Linked DNA regions of Kluyveromyces lactis. The protein of the gene in region 1 binds, or shares a complex with, the protein of each later gene. Links are inferred from orthologs where the notes say so. Each region holds a gene or a part of one and is shown in the gene's direction. Other genes may lie near its edges. The genes, in order: KGD1 and KGD4.

Region 1 (4,574 bases):
CTTCTTAATCATAACAATTGCCTGGAGTTTTCAACTATAAAATTTCCGAAGATGAGTTGAGCCTCAAAAACCTGTAGTCTAGTGTAGCTTAACCTTGAGAGTAGTAGTATTGGAAGTATCGAACGAAGATTGATTGAAACATCTTGAACCAAGTGATAATCAAGCAATGGTCAAGTGACAGCAAAGAATTTCTCGCGACCGAGTTGGGTTGACGAATGTCCGTACACCACATACCGTCAACCGCACTCAGCCTTTGCTTACACTTTAAAACCCATCAGCCAGTCTGGCACGGAGTTGCATAGTACTTATCTGAATATGGAATACTGAAAAGAAAATGTTGAAACGTTACCCGGAATTCCGGGCTGTCCCACAAAATGAATCTGGTAGTTTCCCGTCTTCGAATCCGAAAACGGGTCACCGGACCCCTACTCGCAGACCATGCCCTACAGCTTTTACTATCTGGCATTCTCGTATTGTTGAAAACTGAGTAAGCGGCACTAAAACACTTGTTTGTTCCACCATGTAGCAAGGAAACCTTATGCAAAAACCACATAAAGCTGCTAGAGAGCTACAGGCATTAAAGGTATCAGTACCGATTCGAAGAAAGAAAGAAAATGGGAGTGAGGATCAAAACCGGGGAAATGGCACGAGAGAGATATTGGTGGTCCATTTAATAGTTGAATGAGTGCTTTTTTTTCACACAAAATCGTGAATATATATAGTGCATCTACTATTTCCTATATAAATACTGGTTCTTACTATTTTTATAGAAGAGGTATTTATTATTTTCAAGATTCAAGAGGCCTGCCTTAATACAATTAAGATAGGAGACAGAAGGAAAATAATAACGGAGTTTATTATTTGCCTGTTAAATTAAACTCGTCTAGTAAACGCAATACTCGACTCTCTGGCACTGTTTGAGTTCTGCTTACTCTAATTTAGTTTTTTTGTTGGTATTTCTGTTTTTTATCGGCTAAAAAGTATAAAAGATACAGGATTTATACATTAATTTCACTGCTTATTTAAGTGAAAGAGAACGGGAAATTAAAAAAATCGGGGGTATTTTTTCAAGATCTTCCGACAAGAAAAAAAAGATTGAAGAAGCTTTATTTCAACTTCGTGTTCGCAAGTAGGATATCTCTTTTTTTCAATTAATTAGGAACGTTAACAAAAACAGTCAATTTTGAATCGAAGTTTTTGCCTGTTGTCGTCTTAGTTTCTGACTCTACTACTATCAAGTACTTCTTCTTTTGTTCCCTTTTTTTGTGAGTAATTTTGGATTGAAAATTCACAAAGAAGAGCCATAAAAAAATAAAAACAAAAGAAGATATAAACGAGAAAGATTCATTGAAAGTTAATCATCGTTGAAAAGTTCAACATTTTGTGAATTGCAAGGGATTTTTTTACTTGATAACTGGATATATCAATTTTACAACACACGTACAGAACAAAGCGACCATCTATTGATTTAAGGTTTGTGTTTTGCTTCTTTCGTTATACAGAAAAGAACAAAAAATAACTGTCTTTTGAACAATGTTGAGAACTATAAGGTCATCTCAGCGTTTGTTACATGCTTCTAAATTCACCAGGATCGGTGCTGTAAGCAAACCGACTTCCTTGGCTGTTTTCAGTCGTGGATTGGCTAGTGGTGCATCTTCGACGGACAACTTCCTGTCCACCACCAATGCATCATATATCGATGAGATGTACGAAGCTTGGCAAAAGGATCCCACTTCAGTTCATGTCTCTTGGGATGCTTATTTCAAGAACATGGGTAATCTGAATATTCCAGCCTCTTCTGCCTTCACCGCCCCACCAACATTAATTCCAATACCAACGGGTCCTGGTGTGCCTCAAGATATATTGATAGGGGGTTCGTTAAGTGGCGTTGACCAAGACATCACAACACATTTAAAAGTGCAACTTTTGTGCCGTGCTTACCAAGTAAGAGGTCACCAGAAGGCTCATATTGATCCGTTACAAATTTCATTTGGTGATGATAAGAGTAAACCTCTACCTCGTGAGTTGACTTTGGAACACTATGGATTCACAGAAAAGGATCTAGATAGAGATATCACATTGGGACCCGGTATCTTGCCACGTTTCTCTCGTGATGGTAGAAAGACCATGAAACTAAGAGAAATTATTGCTGCTTTGGAAAAATTGTACTGTTCTGGATACGGTATCGAATACATTCATATCCCTTCAAAAGAACAATGTGAATGGTTAAGAGAAAGAATTGAAATCCCACAACCTTATAATTATACCGTAGACCAAAAGAGACAAATTTTGGATAGACTGACTTGGGCTACTTCTTTTGAAACTTTCTTATCTACTAAATTCCCTAACGATAAGAGATTCGGTTTGGAAGGTTTAGAAGGTGTTGTTCCTGGTATCAAGACCTTGATTGACCGTTCCGTTGAATTAGGTGTTGAAGATGTTGTCTTGGGTATGGCTCATCGTGGTAGATTAAACGTTTTGTCTAATGTGGTGCGTAAACCAAACGAATCCATCTTCTCAGAATTTAAGGGTTCTGTTGCTCCAGAAGAATACGAGGGTTCCGGTGATGTGAAATATCATTTGGGTATGAATTACCAAAGACCAACTACCTCTGGTAAATACGTTAACTTGTCTTTGGTTGCTAACCCATCTCATTTGGAAGCCGCTGATCCTGTTGTTTTGGGTAGAACTAGAGCCATCCAGTTCTCTAAGAACGATATTGGCAAGTATGACAAGGCCATCAGCGTCCTATTGCACGGTGATGCTGCTTTCGCTGCTCAAGGTATCGTTTACGAAACCATGGGTTTCCTACATTTGCCAGCATACTCTACTGGTGGTACCATTCACGTTATCACAAACAACCAAATCGGTTTCACTACTGATCCAAGATTCGCTAGATCAACTCTATACCCATCTGATTTGGGTAAAACCATTGATGCTCCTATCTTCCATGTAAATGCCAACGATGTTGAAGCTCTTACATTCATTTTCAACTTGGCTGCTGAATGGAGAGCTACTTTCCACACTGATGCCATTATTGACGTCGTCGGATGGAGAAAGCATGGTCATAATGAAACTGACCAACCTTCCTTCACACAACCATTAATGTACCAAAAGATTTCTAAGCAAAAATCTGTCATTGACGTTTACACGGAAAAGTTGGTATCTGAAGGTTCCTTCACCAAGCAAGATATCGATGAACATAAGAAATGGGTTTGGGGTCTATTCGAGGAAGCATATGAGAAGGCAAAGGACTATAAGCCAACTTCAAGAGAATGGTTAACTGCTGCTTGGGAAGGTTTCAAGTCTCCAAAGGCTTTAGCTACTGAAATCTTATCCCACGAACCAACCGTCGTTGATGCTGATACTTTGAAGAACATTGGTAAGACCATCTCCTCATGGCCAGAGAACTTCGAAGTTCATAAGAACTTGAAGAGAATTTTAACCAACAGAGGTAAAGCAGTTGAATCCGGTGAAGGTATTGACTGGTCTACCGGTGAAGCATTAGCTTTCGGTTCCTTAGTGTTGGAAGGTAATCACGTCAGAGTTTCTGGTGAAGATGTTGAAAGAGGTACCTTTTCACAAAGACATGCTGTTCTTCACGACCAAAAATCCGAGAATACTTACACTCCATTAAAGCACTTGTCTGAAAAACAAGCTAACTTCACCATCTGTAATTCTTCGTTGTCTGAATACGGTTGTATGGGTTTCGAGTATGGTTACTCTTTGACTAACCCAGATTATTTCGTTGTTTGGGAAGCTCAATTCGGTGATTTCGCCAACACTGCTCAAGTCATCATCGATCAATTCATTGCCGCTGGTGAAGTGAAATGGAAGCAAAGATCCGGGTTAGTCTTGTCCTTGCCTCACGGTTACGATGGTCAAGGTCCAGAGCATTCTTCAGGTAGATTGGAGAGATTCTTGCAACTAGGTAACGAAGATCCAAGATATTTCCCAAGTGAAGAAAAGTTGCAAAGACAACATCAAGATTGTAACTTCCAAATTGTTTATCCAACCACTCCAGCCAACTTATTCCACATCCTAAGAAGACAACAACATAGACAATTCCGTAAGCCACTGGCATTGTTCTTCTCTAAGCAATTGTTACGTCACCCATTGGCTAGATCCAACTTGAACGAATTCACCGAAGGTGGCTTCCAATGGATCATAGAAGATGTCGAATTAGGTAAGAGCATTGCACCAAAGGAAGAGATTAAGCGAGTTGTTTTATTGTCAGGTCAAGTTTACACTGCTTTGCATAAAAAACGTGAAACTATCCAAGACAAGAACACTGCATTCATTAAGATTGAACAACTACATCCATTCCCATACGCTCAATTGCGTGATGCCTTAAACACCTATCCAAACTTGGAAGACATCGTTTGGTGTCAAGAAGAACCATTAAACATGGGTGGATGGGCATATGCTCAACCAAGATTGCAAACTACCTTGAAGGAAACTGACAAATACAAGGATGCTATTATTAGATATGCTGGTAGAAACCCAAGTGGTTCCGTTGCTGCGGGTTCCAAGGCATTGCACAACGCCGAAGAAGAAGCTTTCTTGAAGGAAGT
Region 2 (2,581 bases), on another chromosome or scaffold:
GCCTCAGACCTGGAAACTGACAAATCATCCTCAAGTAATTCGATAGATGGTACCACCACTCCTGGTACCGAGACTTCAATCAACACTTCCAAGAGTCAATCCAAATCATTGAAAAGAAATAACATACCAAAACCACTTACGTTAAAATCAAAGCAAAATACACCTAATGGATCATTACCCAATATAAGGTCAGCTCCACCGATGGTAACAAGACATCCAATTCCAAGTTCACATACATTCTCACAAAGAACCAGCAGAGTGTCGAAACCAAGAGTCATTTATAAAGGCCGGTCTTTGACCAGAAACTTAGCGGGCCAAATTCCGATGTTTCAAACTTCGTCACCCATCGTGCCGCGTCCCCTGATGAGACATCAATATGCGCCAATGACAGCTTACCCTACAACCACCGCACCACCTCACACCCAACGTAGTTTCGAACAATTCGTGTCGAACCCTATCAGAGCCACTAATTCAGTGACAAGGGACGTTTTCAAGGATGAAACTACAAGAATTGCTCCATTAAGCGTACAACCTAAATCCACCAAGAGAGAATTCTTTGATGCCATTGAAATCGAAGACCATAGCAACAACGTCGTCATAGAAGGCGATATACAACTGATGATGGAAAATTTCCAATTCCATTTCGATTCAACGGACCCTCAAATGGATAAGAAGCTCTTCCTCAGCATTTGTTCCAAAATATGGGACGATGTAGTAAGCAGGGAATAGGCGCTCCTTTTCCCCACCCTCATATAACATATTTGTAACTTTAAACAACTTGATCGAGTGCATGGCGTCACTAGACCATCCAGATGAATAACGGTTGGGACAGACGTGACACTCTGTCACGTGACACTCGTGGTCACGTGGCTCACGTAATCGGATTTCCGGTCGTCCTCTACGCGTTCCCAATCGGGGCCGATACAATGGCCGGGTAATATATTAATTCCTCGAAGTATCCCAATATGCTTGCCAACCTTTAACGGTCTTGATGTATATATATATATACATACTCTCTATCAGTTTTATTAAGGCTCTCGGTTTATAAGGTTCCTGTAACTGAGTAGATTGCCAATTAACAGATAAAATTGTTGGTTACTTGTGAATCGTTGATTGAACAGTCGAAGTAAGAATAGTAACCAGGTTTTTTTCCCACTTTTGTGTTAAGGTTTCCTCATTTTGTGATACATCCGATTTTGATTCCCGAAGGTATTGCAATTCAAGATCGTTATTTAGACCATTCACTTGCTGTAAGAAGTGATTAATCCACCGTGACGTTCATTGATAGATTAACGAGATCAGTGACCCAGATATTGAAAAAGGCTCGCGGATCTGGTGTTGAAACTTTGAATAAAGAGATTATAAAGCCTGTAAAGATGCGTGCTTCCACTCTTAACTTGGCTAAAGCAGTCAAATATGTTCCTTCAATCAAGTTTGTTGGCGGCCCTCACCCTGTAGTGACCCATTCTGCTGCGGATGCTGGTTTACATCCTTGTACCGTTGACTCACTAAGGCCTGGTGCTCCCGGTTGTTCTACGGTCGAAGAAGTCGCAAAGAAATGGCTTCCATTCAAGGTGGTTCCATACGTGAACTCAAATAAGAGTGCTTCCGGTAAGGGTTCCTCTACTAAAGCTGCTGGTAATTCACCAAAATATGTGTTTAAAAACAGACCTTTGGAAGAAAATGAAGTTGGATCCATATCACAATTACCCCCAAGATTCAAACTGAGACCTATGGACGAACAAGAGATAGAAATCATTAACGGAGGTGGTATATGATAGGATCTCCTTTTTTTCAGCCTCTCATTTTTCCATAATCGTTAAAGAAACATAATACCAATACATTTATTTATCATAGTTGTACGAACTCACTTGGTTCTGCAATATCTACGACTCATTGAACAGCAAACGATCCATTTCGAATACAATTCTTTTTTTTTTAGAAAACACCATTATCTATTATGATTAATACAACAATTCTACTTTTACCTATTAATTATTACATCTATAACCTTTTGGTGCCAAACATCCTTGCCATTCTTTTGTCTATGTGATTGGTCCTGCCCAGGCAATGGGATAAGGATGAATTTTTTTCAAATTATCACGCTAATCTGTATATCAAAGAATCATTGTAAAACCTTGGATCGCCATGGAAAAACTGATATTATATTTGTCTAATCCTTGCTGTTTGCACCTTTTATTTACCTGTTTCAACACAGTGATTTTGGGATCCTCTTCTGAATCGATATCCTTCACATGTGTTAGAATCACATGCAAGCTAAAATTCTCTGGCTTCACATCGTATACCTCTATTAGCCTTTTCAATTCCCATATAATATGCTGAGGACACAAGTGCCCGTATAATTTGCTTGTATCCACTTCGTCTGTGTTAGAACACTCAAGTACGATGGCCTTCAAGTTATTAATGGGTACATTCTCTGCTAGATATGTCCATATGTTGAGTAAAGAGTCTGTCTTGGAGACAAGATCTGATTCAGTGTCACCACAAATCAGAACATGTCCATCAGTTTGGTGCTCATGGAATAGAAACGCTGTGCTCAGTACAGGTTCTTTGGTATCTA

What was found.
Region 2: KGD1 (region 1) and KGD4 share a complex: the UniProt entries of both Saccharomyces cerevisiae proteins name them as parts of the 2-oxoglutarate dehydrogenase complex. The link is inferred for Kluyveromyces lactis from reciprocal best matches to the Saccharomyces cerevisiae genes KGD1 and KGD4.

What each region holds. Positions count from the first base shown.
Region 1 is NC_006042.1:429,745-434,318, reverse strand, and holds the start of KGD1 (alpha-ketoglutarate dehydrogenase KGD1), read left to right. Parts: upstream 1-1,533; coding exon 1,534-4,574. UniProt on the Saccharomyces cerevisiae protein: The 2-oxoglutarate dehydrogenase complex catalyzes the overall conversion of 2-oxoglutarate to succinyl-CoA and CO(2).
Region 2 is NC_006040.1:989,895-992,475, reverse strand, and holds KGD4 (alpha-ketoglutarate dehydrogenase subunit KGD4), read left to right. Parts: upstream 1-1,376; coding exon 1,377-1,778; downstream 1,779-2,581. Other genes in the region: DIG1 (Dig1p), read left to right, coding at 1-729; 3',5'-cyclic-nucleotide phosphodiesterase PDE1, read right to left, coding at 2,118-2,581. UniProt on the Saccharomyces cerevisiae protein: Molecular adapter that is necessary to a form a stable 2-oxoglutarate dehydrogenase enzyme complex (OGDC).